Linked DNA regions of Oryzias latipes. The protein of the gene in region 1 purifies or fractionates together with the protein of each later gene. This does not show direct contact. Links are inferred from orthologs where the notes say so. Each region holds a gene or a part of one and is shown in the gene's direction. Other genes may lie near its edges.

The links.
Region 2: the proteins of nop2 (region 1) and ebna1bp2 fractionate together in Homo sapiens (co-fractionation; 3 studies listed by BioGRID and IntAct, with this or other methods). This does not show direct contact. The link is inferred for Oryzias latipes from reciprocal best matches to the Homo sapiens genes NOP2 and EBNA1BP2.
Region 3: the proteins of nop2 (region 1) and rrs1 fractionate together in Homo sapiens (co-fractionation; 3 studies listed by BioGRID and IntAct, with this or other methods). This does not show direct contact. The link is inferred for Oryzias latipes from reciprocal best matches to the Homo sapiens genes NOP2 and RRS1.
Region 4: the proteins of nop2 (region 1) and ftsj3 fractionate together in Homo sapiens (co-fractionation; 3 studies listed by BioGRID and IntAct, with this or other methods). This does not show direct contact. The link is inferred for Oryzias latipes from reciprocal best matches to the Homo sapiens genes NOP2 and FTSJ3.
Region 5: the proteins of nop2 (region 1) and nop56 fractionate together in Homo sapiens (co-fractionation; 3 studies listed by BioGRID and IntAct, with this or other methods). This does not show direct contact. The link is inferred for Oryzias latipes from reciprocal best matches to the Homo sapiens genes NOP2 and NOP56.
Region 6: the proteins of nop2 (region 1) and nip7 purify together in Homo sapiens (affinity purification with mass spectrometry; 3 studies listed by BioGRID and IntAct, with this or other methods). This does not show direct contact. The link is inferred for Oryzias latipes from reciprocal best matches to the Homo sapiens genes NOP2 and NIP7.

The regions. Positions count from the first base shown.
Region 1 is NC_019874.2:20,213,824-20,217,323, forward strand, and holds part of nop2 (probable 28S rRNA (cytosine(4447)-C(5))-methyltransferase), read left to right. Parts: intron 1-105; coding exon 106-343; intron 344-434; coding exon 435-634; intron 635-1,536; coding exon 1,537-1,626; intron 1,627-3,169; coding exon 3,170-3,257; intron 3,258-3,389; coding exon 3,390-3,500. UniProt on the Homo sapiens protein: S-adenosyl-L-methionine-dependent methyltransferase that specifically methylates the C(5) position of cytosine 4447 in 28S rRNA. Required for efficient rRNA processing and 60S ribosomal subunit biogenesis.
Region 2 is NC_019862.2:16,838,067-16,842,238, reverse strand, and holds the start of ebna1bp2 (probable rRNA-processing protein EBP2), read left to right. Parts: upstream 1-1,372; 5' UTR 1,373-1,481; coding exon 1,482-1,577; intron 1,578-1,769; coding exon 1,770-1,853; intron 1,854-1,971; coding exon 1,972-2,135; intron 2,136-2,688; coding exon 2,689-2,812; intron 2,813-3,352; coding exon 3,353-3,442; intron 3,443-3,547; coding exon 3,548-3,623; intron 3,624-3,718; coding exon 3,719-3,809; intron 3,810-3,895; coding exon 3,896-4,058; intron 4,059-4,151; coding exon 4,152-4,172. UniProt on the Homo sapiens protein: Required for the processing of the 27S pre-rRNA.
Region 3 is NC_019878.2:17,066,328-17,069,451, reverse strand, and holds rrs1 (ribosome biogenesis regulatory protein homolog), read left to right. Parts: upstream 1-1,416; 5' UTR 1,417-1,486; coding exon 1,487-2,503; 3' UTR 2,504-2,624; downstream 2,625-3,124. UniProt on the Homo sapiens protein: Involved in ribosomal large subunit assembly. May regulate the localization of the 5S RNP/5S ribonucleoprotein particle to the nucleolus.
Region 4 is NC_019862.2:9,092,113-9,096,287, forward strand, and holds the start of ftsj3 (pre-rRNA processing protein FTSJ3), read left to right. Parts: upstream 1-1,375; 5' UTR 1,376-1,481; coding exon 1,482-1,548; intron 1,549-1,676; coding exon 1,677-1,782; intron 1,783-2,276; coding exon 2,277-2,323; intron 2,324-2,415; coding exon 2,416-2,495; intron 2,496-2,724; coding exon 2,725-2,824; intron 2,825-3,214; coding exon 3,215-3,409; intron 3,410-3,503; coding exon 3,504-3,619; intron 3,620-3,784; coding exon 3,785-3,889; intron 3,890-4,070; coding exon 4,071-4,171; intron 4,172-4,175. Other genes in the region: phospholipid-metabolizing enzyme A-C1-like, read left to right, coding at 312-580, 926-1,027.
Region 5 is NC_019863.2:17,294,861-17,299,017, reverse strand, and holds the start of nop56 (nucleolar protein 56), read left to right. Parts: upstream 1-1,357; 5' UTR 1,358-1,474; coding exon 1,475-1,477; intron 1,478-1,963; exon of another isoform or gene 1,964-1,982; coding exon 1,983-2,072; intron 2,073-2,158; coding exon 2,159-2,273; intron 2,274-2,531; coding exon 2,532-2,696; intron 2,697-2,912; coding exon 2,913-3,111; intron 3,112-3,423; coding exon 3,424-3,611; intron 3,612-3,664; exon of another isoform or gene 3,665-3,785; intron 3,786-3,853; coding exon 3,854-4,005; intron 4,006-4,157. UniProt on the Homo sapiens protein: Involved in the early to middle stages of 60S ribosomal subunit biogenesis. Required for the biogenesis of box C/D snoRNAs such U3, U8 and U14 snoRNAs. Part of the small subunit (SSU) processome, first precursor of the small eukaryotic ribosomal subunit.
Region 6 is NC_019861.2:25,703,565-25,707,698, forward strand, and holds the start of nip7 (60S ribosome subunit biogenesis protein NIP7 homolog), read left to right. Parts: upstream 1-1,334; 5' UTR 1,335-1,443; coding exon 1,444-1,499; intron 1,500-1,601; coding exon 1,602-1,688; intron 1,689-1,766; coding exon 1,767-1,905; intron 1,906-3,418; coding exon 3,419-3,559; intron 3,560-4,134.

The DNA.
Region 1 (3,500 bases):
TCTGCTGTAGAAACACTTTCATCCTTTGAAAAGCAGAAAGAATGAATTTTTGTAACCCGACAATCATTGTTGTGAATTTAAAGAAATATTTTTTTCTGCAATCAGCTTCTTCCAATTGAACGTGCAGCCAAAAAGGAGAAAAAGCAAAAGAAATTAATGGACCTTGGGAGTGAAGATGATGATGACGATGATGATGATGAAGAAGAGGAGGAGGAGGAAGATGATGGGGACGAAAAAGATGAACAGCAAGACGAAGACATGGATGAGGACGGCACCTTAGAAACCAACACAGATGAGGTGGACAGATTCCGGCTGCCGGATCCAGAGGAGAGTGAAAAAGAGGGTGGGGTATTTCTATCTACTGCAGAAACATCGAACCAAAAACTAGAAATGACTTTCTTCACAGCCACCCTAATCATCATATCTACCTTTAGGAATGCTGTCTCTGGACCTGAAGACCATCCATCAGAGAATAAAGGACAACGTGGATGTTCTCTGTAACTTCTCAGCAAAAAGGGAGGAGGGCAAAGCCCGAGGAGACTATGTCTCTCTCCTCAAGAAAGATCTCTGCACCTATTACAGCTACAACAGCTTCCTCATCGACAAACTGATGGAACTCTTTCCTCTCTCTGAGGTGAGTTCTTTGAACTTTCAGGGTTTTTGTTTATTAGACACAGATCTATGAAGACTCTCATTCATCCAGGTTGGTTCCATTGTAGTAGGTTTAGGGGATGTCATCTGGACTTGGTTTCAAAGTTGGAAGACGTTTCACCTCTTATCCAAGAGGCTTTGTCAATTCTGGAATAGCTGGTCTAAGAGCTGGTATATATGCGCTCATGGGGGAGGAGTCAGACCTGAAACTGGAGGTGTTGTCCACTTAGCCTATGTGGTTTCGGGTCGGGAAAGAGAGGACCAATGTGGAGAGCGAGTCACTGACTCCCCAACCCCCAGCTGAGGACAAAGGACTATTAACGATAAGATAAGATAAGATAAGATATTCCTTTATTCGTCCCACGATGGGGAAATTTCCTTTTTTGCGGCAGCAGTACAGTGCAGAGAGAGAGAGCAATATATAAAAGAAACAAACTATGGAGTCAATATACTCACATATATACACAATATACACATACATTTCCAAAAAATAAAAATAAAAAAAAAATTGCACAGGATGACCATATATCGGTTATTGCACAGGATAAAAGAAATATGACAGAGCCGATGATGTTGGTTAACGTGGTTCACTGGGAGCAGTTAAGGTTGTACAGTCTAACGGCAGCAGGTAGAAACGACCTGCGGTGTCGCTCCTTCAGACACTTAGGATGTCTCAGTCTGACGCTGAAGGAGCTGCACATATATACCAGCTCTTAGACCAGCTATTCCAGAATTGACAAAGCCTCTTGGATAAGAGGTGAAACGTCTTCCAACTTTAAAACCAAGTCCAGATGACATCCCCTAAACCTACTACAATATTAGACACAGAGTTGTTGATGTTTGGTTGAAAGTTTTATGCCTAAAAGGTTTGTTGTTGTTTCACAGCTGGTTGATTTCCTTGAAGCCAATGAAATTCAGAGACCTGTCACAATTCGGACCAACACGCTGAAAACACGAAGGCGGGACCTTGCACAGGTAACTTACCTTTAGACATTTAGCATCTTAGATTACCTCATAAGCGGGTAGTAGAGGACGCATCTGTCCTCACCTGTTAAAAAGCTAAAGCTCCAGTGTTTACATTCTTTAGGCTATCGTAACTCTTTACCCGATCACACAAATAACACAATTCCAGTGGACTCTGAAGCACAGAAAAGCAGCCTTGTGGTCATATACAGCATTTTATATTAGTAGTGTGTTGCACATTGTTGCAAAGCCGATATGAGAAGCTGCTTTTCTCCACGTCAGAATCAGGTGATTCACATTGATCACGTAAACAGTTGAAGATTTGGTCTGTGTCAAAGAGCGTGTGGTGCTGGTGACATCTCAGGTGTTGGAGGGTTAAGGAAGAAGCTAGTCAATGACACAGGACCTCTGAGGTTAAATATTGATCTAACTAATTCAGAAATACAAAGAACTTTGTTTCGACAGGCTGCAAATTTTCCTGATCCTCTCTGAATAAAATAATTTGCCTGTTACGGTTTGACAAATGTGCATAATAACAAAATGATTGTGAGCAGATGTACAGGAGGAAGTTGTCTAGATCTAAATCAAAGCAAATTCTATGGGTGTGTCCAAATTGGAGGGCTGCGTTCTTCCTGGGCTGCATTTGTAGTCTGCTTACGTCACAGCGCTCCGACAAGTGCTGTCTAAATTCAACGATTCCTTCAAACGCGGCCAACGAATACGGCCAACTTTTTCCTGACCAAGGATTGGTCTGATGTATCCCAAGATGCATTGCGGCCGAACCCATAGATTTTCTCACAACAATGGCGGACTTGGAGATAATTACACCTTTTTATAATTACACCTACTAGATTGAAAGTCGGATCAAATAAGCCAGGAAAATTTTCAACTCCATGCCTGGTTCACTACTCCTCTCTGATTGGGACTTACAGTTGCTAGGCGACAGGACATTCGCTGATGTAACGGCTGGAATTATTTAAAGGCTAGACTCGTCCAAATTCACGGCAGCTAACATCCGGCCGACGTCGCCGGGGAAGGCCGCGGCCATTGAAGGACGCAGCCCTGGAGTTTGGACACACCCTTGCCGAGCTCTCCAAAACATATAAACCCAAGCTACTCACTCAACATTGTCCATGTTTTCCATGATAATGCAATAAATGAAGTCCAGAAAACTCGGCAGTAGCTCCTCCCACACACGTCTGGAGCGTCAAACTTAGGAAAACAATTTCTTGACAAGTGTTGAGCAGTGAATATAATGCGCGTCAAAGGAGAGGCATCCGATGCGAATTTGACGTGCAAATTGTGTTCAGTGTGGACGCAGCTTTAAAACCAACTGGGTATTAAAACCCAAATTCTCCCCCAGGTGGACACTCTTCCTGGTTAAATGTGTTTATGTTCTTCCTAGAGGCCTAAAGTTGACAATAAGTCTTGCAAGAAGAAAACCACCTAAATACTTAAATGAAACTTATGTGTTAAGTTTTTTTAAGATTTGCATGTGCATGTTCTGCAGAAACCAGTGTCAAATGTTGACCTTGTTTTACTTTTTCTTGCTCAGGCTTTGATTAACAGAGGGGTTAACCTTGATCCAATTGGGAAATGGTCTAAAGTTGGACTGGTTATCTATGACTCATCTGTTCCAGTTGGTGAGTTTCTGTTTTAGTGCTCAGAACTTAAGTCAATCAAGTCTTTATTGAAGAGTGTCTCAGACTGACTGCAGCTAAGAAACATTTTGCTTCAGTTCTTCACCTTGTGTGTGTGTGTGTGTTTTTGTGCAGGTGCGACCCCTGAGTATCTGGCTGGTCACTACATGCTGCAGGGAGCCTCCAGCTTTCTGCCTGTCATGGCTCTTTCTCCACAGGAAGGAGAGATGGTGCTGGACATGAGTT
Region 2 (4,172 bases), on another chromosome or scaffold:
ACACACAAATAAGTCTACATGGATACCACTTACATTCACACACGCATACTTATGCATTCAGACTAACACATGTGAAACATTTCATTCAGTCACGCAAACTTGTGCAAAGGTGAGATAGCACCTGTGCTCGAGTGAGTGTTTATGTTCTTCTGGGGTGGATGATGGAATGTAAAAAGAGAGACAGAGCCCAGCCGCCCCCCCACCAAGGCCCCCACCGCAGCAGCGGCAGCAGCCGGGACCCCTCAACACCCGCACAGTACAGCAGATAGAGAACGCTCATGGAGTCAATGTCAGGAAAACGCTCTCTTGTCTTCGGGTGTGTGTGTTGTTTTTTGAGAATACCAGCAACAACAATAACAAAAGCAATAATAATAATAATTCTTTCATTCATCATCTAAAACCGTTAAATCCCTTTTGGGGTCGCTTGGCTGCTGGAGCCTATCCCAGCCACTTATGTGAAAGGCAGGTCACCAGTCTGACACAGGGCCACAATCCCACACACACTCCCATTCCCACCAAGGGACAGAGTAACCAATTAACCTATGAAGCATAAGTCCCTGGGGGAACCCACAAATGGACGAGGAGAACATGCATACTCCACATAGGGAAGTCCAACCATAATAATGATGATTCATTCATTTATTCATTCATTCATCATTCATCTTCTTCTGTTTTGTCCCAATTTGGGGTCACAGGATGCCAGAGGCCAATCACCGCCAATTGTGCGCGAAGGCAGGGGACACCATGGACAGGTCACCAGTCTTTTGGAGGGCCACAATAACACATTCACTCTCACACTCACACCTAGGGACAATTTAGAGTTGCCAATTAACCTAGCCAGAGACCCCAGAGAAAACCGGGGAGAACATGCAAACTCCACACAAACAGGTCCCCCATTGGTGTTCTGGTTCAGGTCCCCCAGCCGGGACTTAAACCGGGGGCCTTCTTGCTGTGAGGCACGGGCGCTAACCAATGTTCCACCGTGCAGCAATAATGATGATGCTGATAATGATATTATTATTATTATTATTATTATTATTATTATTATTATTATTAATAATAATAATAATAATAATAATAATAATAATAATAATAATAATTTTTTTACATTTTTGTTTTACACTAACATGTTTGGTGGCTCTCTCCAGCTGAATTTGAAAGACACTTAGGTTTCACCTTGTTTTCTTTTTCTGCCGGTTGAAACTGCGGGTAATATTTTAATTTGGGAAAAAATAAATAAATGAACAACCTTGATAATAAATAAATTACCATTGCATTATTATTCTTGAGTGTAACAGTGGAATGTATTTTCTTTTTGTAGGAACCTTTTGTTTTGATCGCAGTTTTCCACCGGCGCACTCTGCTTGTAGAACTTCCGATGACGTCATTTCTCCCCGCGTGAACGCTAGTACACGTGAGGAAAATCGAAGCGTCCAAAACAATTAACTTTTCTTGGTTGTTTGGAAAGATTTGCCCTCTTTATGGTTATAGCCGTAAACACGATGGAGTCTGCAGAAGAGGAGTCGCTTCTCGGCCTGGATTCAGAGGAAGAAGGCAGCGAGTTATCGGATGGAGAGGTGAGTTTTTATGCTAACCGGACTCAAGCTCTGATAGTTGTTCAGCTAAAAGTTATCATTATATGATGTACGCTTTGGGGATTTGTTTTCCCCTTTTTTAAAAAATTGGTTAAAGTTATTGTCTCTGAAAGATTTGGTCTAAGTGATTATTCTAATTTACGAAAGGTAATGTATTAATTTATTTAACTGTAGCTTCAGGAAGCCTTCACCAAAGGGTTGCTGAAACCTGGAATGAACGTTCTGGTGGATAAATCTAAGAAATTGGTAAACAATGTGGTAAGTTGGTTTTCTTACAGTTTTAGTTACACCTGTGATGAAGCTACTACTCTTAAATTAAGAGAAAAAAAGTGTATTATTTATAGTGCATTTATGTGAACATGTTTAATGGCTGCAGGAGGGGTTAAAAGAGTGTCTTGCTGACTTCCGGAAAGACCTCTCCTGGGTGGAAAGGTTAGACCTCAGCACTCTTCCAGTCTTATCCCAAGTGGAAGGGAAAGTTCCTGCTGAGATAAATGGAGGACCGGATGCAGAGGATGATTTCCAGAGGGAGATGTTCTTGTAAGTGACCACTGTGTTCTAGACCTCGGGTTCAAAGTATTATCATAATCTGGGTTCGGTTATCACATTTGCAAAACATTTCTTTACCCTGTCATAATTGCAATCTGCAATTTGTTCTTACACATTTGTACGACTGCATGTCATTGTTGATCCTAATTTAGAGCTTTGACTAAAGATACTCCACACACCCAATAAACCTGACATTGGTGCTGGTAAAAACACATCATGCGTGTTTTTATTTTTTTCTAATAAAATGACATTTCAAAATATTGAGCTCAGGATTCAGATTTGAATTTTTTTTTAAATCACCGGTGGGAATATTTTGTAACAGGATTTTGTAATGGTCATATGGTGTTCTAGGCTACAGCTTTTTTTTCTTTAAAGGAACTTTTTTTAAAGCAACCATTTACAGTTTTCAGAAACGGGAAAAAAAAGAGTTATTGAAGTTTTGATCTAATGAGGAAAAACAAATGACCAGGTTTGTGTGTTTGTGTTAAACTGAAGTGATGGCTGTTTAAACTGATGATGTCATTTGTTTTGTTTTCTTTTACAGTTACCGTCAAGCTCAAGCCACAGTCCTGGAGGCCCTCCCTCTCCTGAGGAAGCATGACATAAACACCAGAAGGCCTGATGATTACTTTGCAGAAATGGCCAAGTCCGATCAGCACATGCAGAAGGTGACTTGCTTTCATTCATGCTAAAGGGGGTGTGCTTTCTAACATGTTCTAAGCTCCAAACATTAATCATGGATAGTACTTGGCAGGAATGTGGCTTTCTGTTTATTTGTAGCAGATGTCTGATAGAAAAGTTAAGCTGGACCTTTGTAATATGGATGGCTGTGGACCCATAAAGACTAAAAAGCTTTAGGAAGATGCAAATTCATGAAGAAATGGCTTGAAAAATATGGATTACTTGTGTTGATTGTTAGTAATTACTATAGCAAACTGCACAGTTTGCTGAAAGACATAGATGTGGCACAGAAAGGGTCAAGCGGATCAAAACGCATGTGTAGAGAAAGAAATAGCCAGACTCCAGCTGTTTGTTTCATTTTCTTTGTACGGATTTGTAGGTTTTAATTGTTCTTTAGAAGGTTTTCAAATTCACTTCTGTAAATCTGTGGAGACCCTGTAATAGGTTTGTGAACAAAATGCAGTCTTTTACTTTACAGGAGTTGGAAAACAGGAACAAACCTGTTTTGTTTTGTTTTTGTTTTCCAGATCAGGCAGAAGCTGACCGCAAAGCAGATGATTTTGGAAAAGTCTGAAAAGGCCAAGAAACTGCGGGAGCAACGGAAATTTGGCAAAAAGGTTTGTTTTTGCTGAGACTTGTTCTTAACCGCCTCTCACTCTGTAGATACGAAGACGTGTTTGTGCTCCAAATGGTGAGGGAACCTCTGTCTGATTGTTTGCCAGGTCCAAATAGAGGTGATCCAGAAGAGACAGAAGGAGAAGAAGGCTATGATGTCTGCTGTAAAGAAATACCAGAAAGGTGAGGACTTGGGTTTTGTTTCTGTGGCCATGATATGTACTTTGTAATTGTTAAATGCCAAATCTGATGCATTCTTTTACATTTTCTTATTCCAGGAATGTCAGATAAACTGGACTTTTTGGAAGGAGACCAGAAGATGGGTAATAATTCTTCAGGAGGTCCCAGTAAAGCAGTGAACAAAAAAGGGTAAAGCTTCTCCCCTCTGCTTTTTTCCTCTTTTGCTTCTGTCATATTTTCTCTAAATTCCTCTGGTTTTCCCTTGGATTCTTCAGCCCCAGTGCTAAGCGGAAATACAAGGACCAAAAGTTTGGTTTTGGAGGCAAAAAGAGCGGGAAGAAGTGGAACACCAAGGAGAGCTACAACGATGTTTCTGGTTTCAAAGCCAGAGTGGCGCACGCCAAGGGAGGAAAGAAGGGCAAACAAGGAAAACAAAACGTGAGCCACACAGACAAAACCAAAGATGCATTTATTTATCGTTAAATAATTTGTCAAGTTGATGTAACCCGAATTTTTCTTCTGGGCTTTCAGAAACGTCCCGGCAAATCTGTG
Region 3 (3,124 bases), on another chromosome or scaffold:
TTCAATTAAGGTAGTGAAGCATCATATGATGAGCACCATTTATCATGACAGTTATTGTAAGAAGGTGTTTGCAAAAGTGTCCTGCGACAGACTGGCGACCTGTCCTGGGTGTGTCCCACCTTCGTTCAACAGTGGCAGGGTTAGGCTACGGCATCCCCATGACCCAGAAAGGGTTAAAGCAAGAAAAAGAATGGATGGCTAGATGTGTAAAATTATTTTTTGATATTAATATTGGCAAGAAAAGTCATAGAAGTTTTACCTTTTTTCTGAGAACAAGTATTCCCTTAGTCAGGTGTGTATTGTAGCCATTTGGCTAACATTATATATTGTATTTATATTCCATGCATGGATGCTCCTGTCCTGCCTTGGTCATTTAGCCATTTGAGTTCCCTGTTGATGGGTGCATTTTGGAGATTGCCATGTCTTTATTAACATGCGTTTGGATTTTAGAACTTTGGAAGCATGACATTATATTATTCTTAGGCCATGTTCAGACTTTTGAATGCTATTTTGGGGGGTTTTATTGTAATTTTTCACTGTTTGAGTTCACAAAATATTTGACAAAAAAGGAAGAACATTGACCGTTTCTTATGAAGCAAGCATCAGATACGAGGCAGTTCCTGTTCCCCAAAACACCTGAATGACAGCAGTTATAGTGTTTTGTAACCTACAAAAAATATTGAGGGATAAATTAGGCTTATATTTTTTAAAAGATTAATATTTTAAGCTCTGCCAGGTGACACAACTGAAGGAAACCAAAATTATCGATGCCAACTCACTTTAAATGTGTATTTAAATAAATATCACAACTGAATGTCCATAAAATTCAAAAACAAGTATTGCAAACATGGTTTTATTTTGAAAAATTTTGCATATTTCTTAGCTTGACTGTATTTTGACACATAGAGTTGAAATTTTGTTGAACTGTCACCGATGAACTGTAACTGACTTTTTACCCCAAAAAAAATGCGTTTACATGTTTTTTTCTGTCTAGTTTAGCTAAATATATATCTTTTTAAATAATGTATATACACCCATCTGGAGCTTCTGTGACTGTCATCATCTGTGGTTTGATGTCTGTAGTCCACCTGTTGAAGCGCCCTAAGGCTACAGACTGAACTTAAACTTGACCCTAGTGTTCATTGGTGTGAAAAAGAGAAAAGAGCTTAAAAATGTTGCATGAATGTGGCATGAATTTAGATTTTTTTTATTAATATAGTGTATTTTATGTGTGTGTTATTATAACAAGTTGTATACATTGCATTAATTTGTTTGTTTTTTATTCAAATTTAAATGTCAAATTAGTGGAACAACATTGCCCTCTGGCAGCCAAATTCTGTATTATACAAGAAAATAAAACAACACTTCCCCCTGATGGTTACCGGTGGGAATTAGGCAACACTGCCTCGTGCGGTGAGACAATGAACTACACCGTGACCCGGAAGAAGACTCCTGTTGTTGCCCCACGTGTGTAGTGGTCGAAATCATGGCTGCGTGCAGCGTGGAGGAGCTGTTAGCGAAAGCCGAACAGGAGGAGGCTGAAAAACTGAAGACCATCTCCGTCCAGAAGGAGCTGGATTTGGACTTTGACGTGGGAAACCTGCTAGCTTGTGACAAAAACCGCATCGAGTCCAGGGACTTCAAAGAGCAGAATAAGGAAGACTTTCTCCGGTCGCTGGCCCGCGACAACACGCAGCTTCTTATCAACGAAATCTGGAAGGTGCCGACCGAGAGGGTCGAGGAGGCGATCGTAGCCAAACTACCGGAGCCGACGACCCGGTTGCCCAGAGAGAAACCTCCTCCGAAGCCCAAACCCCCGACGAAATGGGAGCAGTTCGCCAAACTGAAAGGCATCCAGAAGAAGAAGAAGACGAACCTGGTGTGGGATGAAACGGCCAAGGAGTGGAGGAGGCGCTGGGGCTACAAGAGGGCCAACGACGACACCAAAGACTGGCTGATCGAGGTTCCGCAGACCTCCGACCCGAACGAGGACCAGTTCGCCAAACGCGCCCATGCCAAGAAGGAGAGGGTGGCAAAGAACGAGTTCAACAGACTGAAGAACGTCGCCAGATCTCAGAAAATAAAAAACCCCGGTGTGGGGCTGCTACCCCGAGCCAAGCAATCCAAAGACGAGCTGAGCAAAGCTGTGAGCGTGGCCAAAACCTCCACGGCATCCGTGGGCAGGTTCCAGGATCGCCTCCCAAAGGAGAAGCCCCCCAAGAACGCAGGCAAGAGGAGGAAGTTTGAGCCCCTCATCGGGGACTTCTCCAGCGAGAAGCACAAGCAGCTGGAGCTCCTGAAGGTCATGGACAGCAAGAGGCCCAAGCTGGACATCACCAAAGCCGTCAACAAACAGATGAGAGAGGAGGACAGGGAGGAGGCTGCGTCCAGGAAGAAGGGAGGCAAAGGGGGAGCCACCCGGAGGCCCAAGGGGAAGGGGGGCAAAGGAAAAGGAGGCAAAGCTGGAGGAGGGAAGAGGAGAGGGAAACCTGGGAAGCGCTGAAGAAATTCTCTACATCCTGCTGCTGCAGAGCTGAACTCTGAGGACCGATTCCTGCTCCCCATAGCTTTTTGACTGTACTGTTGACAGAAAAGCAAATATATTCTACAATTTAAATACAAAAGTCTGCCGTTTCAGTTTTTTTTTACCTCCAATAAATGTCATATGGTTTTCAAAAAAAACTTATTTCCAATGAAAAGCTAATTTTAAGATTAAAAGAAATTCTGTTGCATTTTTCTCATGATGGAGGACATAAATAAAGAAATTTTAGATTAAAACTGCATTATTGAGTATTTCTTTATTCAGATCCTTGTGAATCAGGAGCAGACAGAAAATGCTGTTTGATAAATCCCTCAGTTGTAACGTAGAAACTGAACTGGGCAGACCAAAGTCTCCCTGCTCCGCCTCCACTTGCACACAAAGATGTAGAGAAATGTGAGGCGCTGTAATCTAGTGGGAGAGCGTGTAAACATGGATGACGGAAAGTGGGGGTGGACATACTCTGCAGCAATAGTTCCACCTACTGATGAACTGCTGCTCTGCACAAATTCTTCTCTAGAAAACAGCATTTGATTTTTCTATTTAGCCTAAAAACGGCATAGTCATAGTTGAAAAGACCGCTAG
Region 4 (4,175 bases), on another chromosome or scaffold:
ATTTTCTTTTGCTCATTTGGATTGAATTGAACTTTCATTATCTCATAGGGAGAAACTCACTTGTCCTGTCAGCTCGAAGGAAAAAAATCAATTCAATTTACAACAACAATGGTTGTCTCAATGGTAACTGTTTAATGAACATGAAGTCGTACTGTGCAATTGCAAAAAAACAAGTGATAATACAAATTACAGCTCACCAAATATACGTGCAAACAAAAAAGTAAATAGATGAACTGAGCAAATAACAGTTTAAATAAATATGTATGTGATTTTAACTGACATTGTCTCACTTATGCTCTTCCCTCCTCCAGATGAGAGCCAGGCCGCCGCCATGTCCAGTGTGAAGTCCGTCTTCAGCAGGAAGGCCGTGGTGCGCATGCAGCTGCTGAAGGAGGTGGTGGGCAGCGACTCGTACCGCGTCAACAACAAATACGACGACAACCACACTCCCCTCCCCATCTGTGAGATCATCGAGCGAGCTCAAGTCCTCATTGACCAGGAGGTGTCTTATGACTTGCTGGGGAGCAACTGCGAGCACTTTGTTACCCTTCTGCGCTATGGACAGGCGGTGTCCGAACAGGTCTCCCACTGTCTGCTTTGTTTTATGTGTCTCCAGTGGAAAATAACAATCTGTAGATCAAGGAAAACTGTTCAATGTGTGGCTACTTTCTAAATGAAGAATACTATTTAAGGTCCCAATAGACCACAGAGCAAAGGATTGGTCACTTTCCCAAACCATCTTCTGCTGTCAACCTCCTGGTGGCATCTGAAAATGACCAATAAAGAAGTCCAATAAATAATGTTTTTACACTATCATATTAGGAGCTGCACTTTATTATTGATGGGCGGTATAAAACGAATGTGTACGTTGGAGCTCTAGCCTCATTGGTTTGATCATCCCTGGTTCATTTTCTGTGCTCCACAGGCTTCACGAGCCATTGGAGCCATCAGCGTGGTGACGGCTGCAGCCAGCGCCTTCTCTGTCCTGGGGCTGATCAACACGCGTTCCAGAAACAGACCTTTCTGACGGAGGCAAACCTCACCCGAGGCTGTCGTCTCTCAACGATCATGCAGCTGTTATTGAAAGCAAAACCAATAAAGTATTCATCAGAATGGAACTGACTTTGTTGTTTAAGGATTAAAAACTACACTGCCTGTATTCCGTGTACTTAAATACATAAATTTATGTTTTTAGGTTATTCACTTAAAAAGAGAGGAATTAAAACTGATGACCATATTAGACCGTACGGTCTAATGTTCTGCTTTACACACGTTTCACGCAACACAACGTCAAGTTGCAAGATGCTTTGCGAACAGCAGGTGGCGGTAAACACTATATACAGATTCAACATCTAGGGATGTTGACAGAGAAGAAGACAAGTTCGTGACGTACAATTTCTGCGCCGGGACGTAAACACGTGTTTTAGTTTTTTACCTGTTCGTGGATTCTTGCTGGGGAAGAAAACAATCCCGCGATAAATATGGGGAAGAAACTAAAAGTTGGAAAAACTAGAAAAGATAAATTTTACCATTTGGCAAAGGAAACAGGTATATTTATTTGGTATACGTAACGGGCTTAATGTTAGCCCTCGTACGTAGCAGTCTGGCTATTTAAACAGAAACTGTGTTCTAACTGAGTCTGTTAAATAACCTTTTACTTAACGATTTATTTACAGGTTATCGCTCTCGTTCATCCTTTAAACTCATTCAGCTCAATCGTAAGTTCCAGTTTTTGCAGAAAGCAAGAGCTTTGGTCGACCTGTGCGCTGCTCCAGGTGGATGGTTAGTAAGCTCAGGATTTCATTTACTTGTGTCTTGTCTTTTTTTTCCTCACCATTAATTTCACACTTAAAAAAAATCACCGCGGTGATTTTCGTCTGGTCTGGAACTTAGCAATAACAGATAACACGATTATAACAGCTTCTATTTCTTTGCTCGGTAACTAACTACTGGACGCAAAAAATAAATGAAAGGTTTTAGCAGACATTAAGTCCATTTGTGTTATAAACAAAAACGAACAGAGGTAAAAAAAAAAAAAACATTCAATAAAATGCTCACAAATAAGAGTTTGTCTACCAGACCGTAGGGACTTCAAATTAAAAAGGTTGATTCTGTGCTGTTTTCAAAAGGTTTATCACTACATTTTATCATTTTATTCTAAAATCAAAAATTTCTTAATCGTGATGGTGATGATTACAAAGAAAAAGAATCAAATTTACAGTAAAACGTACATTTTTTTATTCTAATTCGTATAATAATGTATTTCTGTTCACTAGGTTACAGGTTGCATCCAAGTTTATGCCTGTTTCAAGTCTCATCATTGGTGAGTGGGTCATGATCAGCACAAACGGCGGTTTTGAGTCTGAGCTCACTGAACTGTTCCAAAGATGATGTGATCCTCTGTGTTTTTCTCAGGTGTGGACCTGGTTCCTATTAGACCCATTCCCAGTGTAGTGACACTGCAGGAGGACATCACCACTGAGAAGTGCAAACAGGTGCTGCAAACATACTGCTCTCATTTCCACGGATAGAACTGATTTGATTGGTTTATGTCGAGCGTTACAAATTATGGAATAATACAATAAAAAAAAAAACAGATATATCCCACTCATTTTCAGTTGTTAAATATTGAATTAATTAGTAAAGAAAAAAATCAACAGAAAACTGATGATTCCGCTTTTGAAAACTCCCAGTGTGGCATGAATGCATCTTCTCCACTTACAGGCTCTACGAAAGGAGCTTCAAACGTGGAAAGTGGACGTCGTGTTAAATGATGGAGCCCCAAATGTGGGAGCGAACTGGCAACACGACGCCTTCTCCCAAGGTAAAACGAGGCCGGAATATACATGTTTTTTAAGTGAAATTCATTTTAATAGCCAAACATTCGTTCATACATGAGATATTGCTCTACTTTTTACATTTTATTGGCTTTTTATGTTCTTATTCACTTATTAATGAAATTAGTTTTTAACAGTTTTTATTATGTTTAGCTTTTAATGTGAAGTGCTGTCTTCAATTTTAAATTGTGTTGAGGATGATTTGCATTTATTTCTCTAGTTTTATGTGATCAATATTTTCCAGACATAAAAAATATTTATTTTTTAAAAATTCTAACATGTGCAAACCCGTATCTGCAGCATCACATCCTGACAAGTTTGTCGGCTCACTTCAATCTTTTTAAACTCTGATCTGTTTCTTGTTTGTTTACTTTCAGCTCACTTGACTCTCATGGCTTTAAAGTTGGCCTGTGAGTTTTTGAACAAAGGTGGCACTTTTGTCACCAAGGTCTTCCGGTCTAAAGACTATCAGCCCCTCCTCTGGATCTTCCAGCAGTTCTTCAAGAAGGTGCAGTCCACTAAGCCACAGGCGTCGAGAAACGAGTCCGCTGAGATCTTTGTCGTCTGTCAGGGTCAGTGTCTGCTGCACAGCTTTTTTCCACTGGAGGACTTCCTGTTTTTATTGTGCATTTGCAGAGAACATCCATGCTTTTTGTTTCCTTCCAGGATTTCTAGCTCCAGACAAAATAGACGGTAAGTTCTTTGACCCCAAACATGCCTTCAAAGAGGTGGAGGTGCAAGCCAAAACTGTGAGGGATCTGATTACCGTCAAGAAACCAAAGGCAAGTTCCCGGAAGAGTGTCTGTTGATTTAATTATTAAAGCAAATTCTGTAAAGTTGTAAAGACATTCTGGATTTATCATGGAAGCGTTGTTTCATGGGACTTCCGCTGCAGAAGTCATGCTCGTTCATTACTTATCAGACCGCTGTTGTTGTTGTTGTTGTAGGCAGAGGGATACACAGATGGGGATTTGACGCTTTACCACAGTTTCACCGTGACATCTTTCCTGAAAGCGGAAAATCCGGTAGACTTTCTGGGAAAAGCTAGCGAGGTGAGCGCCCTGAAGGCAACACTTAATTCATCTGTCAGTTAAAAATTACACTTTTAAAGACACCAGCTGAGATGTTAAACAGTCCATAACCTGACACTTGAGTCTGTTTTTTCTTTTATTAATGTCAGACTGAGAAGGATTTCTCTTTTTTCTAAAGCTAATTCCTCCTCTGTCCTCCCAGATCAAATTTGACAGTCCCGACCTGGAGTCCCACTCTTCCACCAGCAGCGAAATAAAGGAATGCTGTCGTGACATCAAAGTGTTGGGCCGCAAAGAACTGCGGTAA
Region 5 (4,157 bases), on another chromosome or scaffold:
CTGTGTAGTAAAAACACGTTAACACGTTGACACATGAAACCTTTTTACATTTTTCCATCACTTTGCACTTGCAGTTTATTTATTGTACAGTTGTACGGTACAGAAATCCTGGTTTTAGTCATCTGAGGAATTTGAACTATCCTGTATAAAAAGATATTCCTCATAATGTTTAAAGTACGTGAAAAAGATAAATCACATCCATTTTGATGTCCTTTTTTCCCATTTTTGTTTTCATTCATTATTGTTGGTTTTGCTCATTTTTTCTTTGTAGCTTTTTAAACGTTTGTCATATTTCTGTTAAAGAATCATGATATAATTCACATTTTTGATGTAAAAGTTGGACCAACTAATAGTTTTTTTCTCAGCAAGTAATGCAACCTGCCTTATACAGTTTTTATATGTTTTATAATTGTATTTTATTGCAAATAAACATGTTTTGCTGATTAGTGTTTTCTTTATATTTTCAGTAATTTAGTCTCTTTGGAGTGTCAGGTCTGTGTTTGAATAATTAAATCTCAACACTCCTGTTGATGAAAAGCTTTCAAGAAGAAAAAATGCATTTTTCGGATTAAAATACATTTAAAATAATTTTTCCATTGTTGCAGCAACATTTCATCTTTAGTTACTTTCTGTCCAAAAGAATAGTTCTTTACCTTTTTTTGTCCACAATATGTTTCTAAGCGAAGTACCTTTTAATCAACTTAGGACAGTTAGATTTGAAAGTAGCTTTGATAAAAGCAAATAAAAGTGCTTTTAGTGATTAAAAGACATGCAGCAATTTAGTGTAAAAAATGAGTAAGCAGCAATTTAACCATAAAATACCTAAATGAAGAAATTAAATAAAAAATACTAGACTGGAAAGACTCAGAGGAAAATATGACATTTGTCCAAGCCTGTCCAAAGCCCATGCAAAATGATTTCCAATGATTACTTTTACTGAAAAAGCTTCTTGATAAAAAATGTGTGACTTAAATGTGAGTAGACACTTCTATACAGATGAATGAATCTGAATAGACTTGTGTATACTGTTTTTGCAAAGATGTTTATTTGTGATTATTACACTTTCAAGAAAATGAGATGGCACCATTTTCTTTTATCTTTGGTTATTTTTCTTTACTTTCTAATTAACGTATTACTTCAAATCTGAAATAATTTAGATATATATAGGTTTTGTCATTTCTATTGTATTATTCCTATATTTTGATGCTTTAAATAAATAATTCAATAAATACTCCAATAAAAATAAAAAATGTGATGTAATGCACTGGTTGATGATCAATAAAAAAATTCGGAGGTGCCATAATTGTGAACAAGAGGTGAAGCCAAGCTCGCAGCAGCTGTGAAAGAAAGGCGGAGAGGGAGGAGCCAGTATAATCTCGCGAGATGTGGGTCATGTCAAAGTTTTCTGCTCTCTTTTCGTGTGTGGAAGCAGCGGAGCAGACACGTTGTGTGCCGCTGCGCAGATTTAGCCATCATGGTAAGATAAATGACTCTTGTGCACCGCCACCTTTATTCTGAAGAAACAACTTGAAGCTACGCAGAGGCGATAAATCCCCTTGTACTTGTTCAAATGACGTTTAAAAAGTCAAGGGAAAAAATGACGACCGTTTTTTGCGGCTAGCCGCCTGTGCGGAAAGAATAGGCGGGAGTGTCTAAAGTTGTTTTAACAGCCACAGACTGAATTGGTGAAAAGGTACATGAACAGCTGTGTTAGTCAAAATATATTATGTATACAGAGTTTGAAGGATTTTAAAACCGCGTGAAGGGGTAATCGCTAAGCAGTTAGCATTAGTTAGCTTAATAGCAAGTTTGCCTGGGCCCAGGTCAAACACGTGGGTTCGACAAGCCACCACGTGGTTCCAGTTTAAAGTAATTCATATCTGCCTAAATCAACTTGCAATAAAACCACTTTTACTACAAATGTCATTTGGGATAAATCTTAAAGGGATTTATTGTTACTTACTTAAATGTACCTTTCGCAGGTTTTGCTGCACGTGTTGTTCGAGCACGCGGCGGGCTACGCGCTGTTCGCCGTGAAGGAGGTGGAGGAGATCGGCATGCTTCTCCCCCAGGTGAGCCTGTTCTCCTGCGTGTCCCGGTCTGGTGTGTTGTCGGGAGTGGATCAGAGCGGTGAACGGTGTCTGTGTGTCCGTCGCAGGTGGAGGAGAGCGTGCTGAGCATCGGGAAGTTCAACAGCATGGTGAGCTTGGCTGCTTTTTTCCCCTTCAAGTCCGCCCAGGCCGCCCTGGAGAACATCAACGCAATTTCTGAAGGCAAGTCGTATTTATTTACTGAATGGGTTTGTTTTTTAAGATTCTCAGCTGTAATGATGGTTTACAATCTGTCAATCCACTGATAAAATGTGATGATATTTTTATGTTACTGCTGAACATCTGGGGAAAAGTTGAGTTTATTCATGCATCTTTTAGTGATTAAGACTATTTCCTGGTGCATAAGAAGTGTTTGCTGGCTGCATGGTTGGATTACGGGTTGTGTTTTTGCTAAAGGTTGCGATGTTTTTTCCAATGCAGGCGTCGTTCATGCTGATCTGAAGCTGTTTCTGGAGACAAACCTTGCTCTATCTGGAAAGAAGAAGCCGTCTTTAGGGGTTTCTGATGCCAAGATCGGAGCTGCGCTGCAAGAAGAACTGAACATCTCCATACAAACCGGTGGAGTGGTGGCTGAGATAACTAGAGGTGCGTTATGTCTTTGTTTGAATACAGACGTGAACTCAGTTATTACTTTATTACTGTGAATGTTAATATAAAAAGGGGTGGTCTGTTGTGATGCACTTTTGATCCTGACATTTGTGATGGTTTATACTGAAAATCTGAACAGCCCCCAGATGTTTCCGGTTTTGTGGCAGTTTCCTTTTGCGCCCACAAACCCTCCTGTTTGCTTTCACTTTGCAGGTATTCGCCTTCACTTCCACTCTCTGGTGAAGGGTCTGACCTCTCTCGCCGCCTCCAAGGCACAGCTTGGTCTGGGTCACAGCTACTCCAGAGCGAAGGTCAAGTTTAACGTGAATCGGGCTGACAACATGATCATCCAGTCCATTGCTTTGTTGGATCAGCTGGATAAAGACATCAACACTTTCTCCATGCGTGTGCGGTAAGCTGGTTGTTTAGGATGTTTTTGTTTTGGTTCCAGGGTAAAACTGAATTAAATTCTATAAAAGTTTGAAAGATAAAGTGTCCTCCTAATGCTTACCACAGACAGTGCACCTCAGAGTGTTGTCTGTATAGAAACAGGAGGTACATCAGCCTTCTCCTAACATTTGCGCGGTACTTGCTGACATCTCGTAACGCCACACTGTTTGGGGGGATACATTTCCCTGTCTGGTTTTTCCCTAACGTGTGCATTTTAGTTTTGAAGGGTTATATCACACAGGATATTCATAGTTTGTTTCCTTGTGCACTCCAGGGAATGGTATGGCTACCACTTCCCGGAGCTGATCAAGATCGTTTCAGAGAACTCAATGTACTGCCGCCTGGCCCAGCTCATTGGCAACAGGAAGGAGCTCACAGAGGAGAAGCTGGAGAGCCTGGAGGAGGTGGTGATGGACAGTGCCAAAGCTCAGGCCATTCTGGAGGCGTCTCGCTCCTCTATGGGTCAGAATTTAAGCCAGTACCCTACTGTAGCGTTGATCTTATAAGCCCCTTTTATGCCCACCCTGGACCGATAATCGTCCTGGGTGCCTAACACAGGGGGGTAGATGATATCTCTCATAAACCTGTAGTGAAGGCGTGTCCTCCTCACTGCGGATCCTGTCGGGAGAAACAATCCCACAGTGCAGCTCAAAATACAAACTGGTCCTTTTCTTTGTTCATAGCTATCGTCTTTTCCCTTTCAGGAATGGACATCTCTCCAATTGACCTGATCAACATTGAGAGGTTTTCCAACCGTGTTGTGTCCCTGGCTGCGTATCGCCAGGGGCTGCAGGAGTATCTGCGCTCTAAGATGTCGCAGGTCGCTCCAAACTTGGCAGCCTTGATTGGAGAAGTGGTGAGGAAACGCTTGTGTCTCTGTCTGTTTCTTGGACCAATGATGTTTTGCCAAAATCTGTCAATCCCCTGAATCCGTGTGATGAGAACTACATCGGTGCTGATGGTCCTCTGCACATTTTCCTAAGCTCAGAGTTTCAGAATTTTGTTCCG
Region 6 (4,134 bases), on another chromosome or scaffold:
TTTTTTTTAATAACAGAGGTTCATTCACAGACACAAACTGATGGTCGGTGGGCTCCACTAGAACGTGAAAACACATTTTCTGTACGTTCTGTGTGTAAAATCAGAAAAAGCAAAAAAACAATGATGCAACATTGTGGGGTGTTGTGTGTTTATTCGCTGCCTGAAAAGAAACCGTCTACATGATTAGTCACAACAAAACTTTTCCAATGTAACGTTAAGGTCAGAGGGTCAACAATGAGTACATTCCCATTCTCATAATGCTTGTTTTTGCATTGTAGCCTTACTGAGGCTTTAACTTTTACAACCTTTCAGGGCAAAAACTTATCTGGAGGCTTGCCTCAGTACAAGGTCAGAAATTGGGAAACTGGGGCAATCTGCACTTGTGCCTGTGCCTTGCATTTAAAGATTATTTCAAGCACTGAAGTACAATAGACAAATATCTCAGAATGGTTTTACTTTACATTCAATGCACAGAGGATATTTAACAGTTTAAATTTCTACTCTCCTAACCAAGAGGGTCCCAGTTTAGCATTTTCATTTAAATTCCAAAACTGAAAGACTTGATCATCAATGTTCCCAACAAAAAAAGGGGTTGACGTGAGGATCAAATGTCTGCCAGAAGCAGAGGGCTCGCTGACCAAGTATATCTTCCCAAATTGTTGTGTTCCTGACTCTGCAGCTGACAGCAGACTTCATTGATTGAGCTGAGCACCCAGAGTCTCAATCAGCAGCAAGAATAAGAGCTGTGCTTAACCGTGATCTCTTGAAATCTACTATCACTAAAGGTCAAGTGGAAAAGCACTAAACCTCGGATTAAACCAACGTTAATTGGTATTTACAAACAAATGGACATTATGTAACTTTGGATGGCTGCGGCAAAGCGCCTGCTGCCCTTATCTCCTTTCAGTACGAATCAGTTCACAGCTGGGAGCAATTCATTGACAACAAAAATGTATATAGTGCGGACTCTATGGTTTTTAAATATAAATTCAGTTCATTGGATGTAGAAAATAAGAGTCAGAACCAGCAAGCTGCCACAGCTAACCTGTAAGCTAACGCTCCCGAGGTCTGTGGTTTTTTCTCTCTCTGTGCTGACAGCTAGCCTAGCAAGCTAACTGAGTCCGTTTTCGTTCAATTTGACTCCTGTTTTTCACAGTCGCTTCAAAATCAACGTAAAAACACCGAAATGTAAGTGTGAAATAATTTCATCGGGATAACTATAATACCAGGAGAGTAAACTTACCCGAGGGTGGCCGGGTCGCTAGAGAGATGACAAGTGTCTGAAATCTGAAGAATGCCAGAAAAAAAAAACCAGGAACTGCTATCACTGCTGACGTAGATCCACTTCCGCTTTAGATCGTGACGACTTCCAGTTTACCCACGTTGTGTCGTTTCTTGCGATATTTAAACGTAATTCTCCTAGATTTGCTTTAAACTCTAATTATGAGACCTTTAACGGAGGAGGAGACAAAAGCGATGTTCGAGAAGCTTTCGAAATAGTAAGTGACTGTTAATGCATCTACGTTTAACATTAGTTACTGTTTATTTTAGCCCGTTAGCATGTGTGTCCCATGTGTTTTTTCCTCTCTCTTCCCCTCAAGCATTGGAGAAAACATCAAACTTCTTGTGGACCGACCCGACGGTACCTACTGTTTCAGATTACACCATGACCGAGTGTACTACATGAGGTATTTCCTGATCAATACCTAAGATTGTTTGCGGTAATTCAGCCTAGATGTTGATGCAGCATCGTTTTCTCTTCACAGCGAGAAAATTCTTAAGTTGGCAACGAACTTTTCTCGAGACAAACTCATTTCAGTGGGAACTTGCTTTGGAAAGTTTACAAAAACTAAGAAGTTTCGTCTCCATATAACCGCTCTGGATTTTCTGGCACCTTACGCAAAGGTAACACACAAGTTGTCACTGCGCAAACTCAGAAGAAAAAAATGCTTCTTTTTGAAGATAGTTCTTAAAAAATTAAACACTCTGCCAGGAATATTATTATTCAATTATTTGTTCATTCTTTTATAAGCAATTATGTGAGCAAAAGGGATGAGAAACAAAAATATTAAACTGGTATGAAATGGTGGCGCCATTGAGTGATTATTGTAGTTTTTGTTGGGGATCAGTATTACAGAAATGTAACAGTCCTAAAAGTAACTTTATTGATAAAAGCAGTCCTTACCCAGCAGGTACTATATTTGTTGACTTCTGGTTAGGTCTTCTCCACCACCACAAGCAGCAAATCAGTATAATAGCACATATTTTATTAATTTAAATATATTCCTTAACCTTTTTAATTACAGTGTATTTTTTTAATCTGTAGATATGTGTTTCTAAATCTATTTTTACTTGCCTATATATCTTTATGATGGATTAACAGGAGCATAAACTAAATCAAAAAAGAGGATGAATAAAAAAAGGTAGAGGTGGGTGTGGGGGGTCCTTTTTATATGCAGAAGTAGATTTATTGTGATGTAAACTCATCATAAGTCACATTTTCCTACATTATGGGGGAAAATGCTCCTATATGTGATTAACAGTGTTGCAGGGCTTCAAATGTTAGTGGTCATTAGGGATACCACAGTTCCCCCGTTTGCAACTGAACCACATCTCGCTGTTTACCAGTATGTTTACATTCAAAGGGCCAAACAATTGTTGTTAAATTAAAGAAGTTATTGTTTTATTACATTACACCAGGCTTAGAATAAGCCATCTTGAAAGGTTTTTCTTTATTGTTACTTGCCTATTAGGAAATGAGAAAAAAGATTGTATTTTTTTTTGTTCTTTTGTAATAAACAATCATCACACCTTCCGCCTTCGTCAGGGTCGACCCTGATGAAGGCGGAAGGTATTCCACCGAAACATGTGGGTAGGTTTAACAAAATCAAACCAGTTTCTGAAAGAAAAATAATTTAAGTACTCAGTATAATTTATAGACACAATGTACTTTAATGAATCATTAAGAAACAATCATATTGAATTGAAACATAATTAAAGTTTGAACTAAACTGTAGGTAAAGGGAAGGAAATATTGTTGCATCTCCAGTAGTCATGTCTGTGCTCTTCTGCGAGAAACAATTGCTTGTAGAAAACGGGAACTAAGAATGACATTAGCATCATTTTACTGTTGAGATAAGTGGAAATGCAAAACCCCAAAAAAGTTGAGTTCAGCAAAAGAAGCCATGGAACATCTTCTTTATGTAAAACCACACACATGTGCTACTTCCATCAGTTAAGGCATAACTTCCTTTTTTGGCTTTTCCCTCAAACGGACACTTCACTTACCTACCTTATTTTGGAGGGGGTGGGTTGGGGAAGAGGTTCTAAGACAGTTTTTAGATCTCAAAAGAAGGCGTACCTTATTGAATTTATTATTCGTCCTTTGTGATTAACTAAAGAATGGTCTTGTCTTCAGTTCAAGGTTTGGGTGAAACCAGGAGCAGAGCAGTCCTTCCTGTATGGGAACCATGTGTTGAAGTCTGGGCTGGGAAGGATCACAGAGAACACCATGCAGTATCAAGGAGTTGTGGTGTACTCCATGGCTGATGTACCGTTGGTAAGACTTTGAATTTCCTTGTTTGGCTTTAAGGTCATTAGTCACAAACACTTTTTTTTTTTTTTTTTTAGCTAATAGTATAAACTCAACTTCATTCATTCAGCTTTAACATTTTTATTTTCCCTTCTAAATTTAAGCAGAAATAGCAATATTTAGTTAGCTCCCAGGTACATAATTGGCTCAAAATGAGTTAAATGAAAATGTGCTTCATCTCAAAAGGTCAGATTAGAATTAGGAAGTCTATACTGGTTCTGGAACAGCGTTCTTTAGTCAGATTAACCAGTACCAGAATAACAGGAAAGGCAGGTGCTCTTTAAACGTTTGCATGGCTTTTTACTGACTGGCTTTTTAACGAAGGCATATTTTTCTATTGTTCAAATATGAATCAACAAAACTGTTATGGCAGTCACGGCAAAAGCTGGTAGTATGATGTCACAGCTGAAGCTTTGCCGTCTGCACATTTCATTTTTCACGTCAACTCTGCTCATAGTTGCATGTATTATCTTATATTTGTTATTTAAGCAGAGAGCTGCAGCAGAATAAGATGTGTTTCTCCAATTTTATAAAATCAGAAT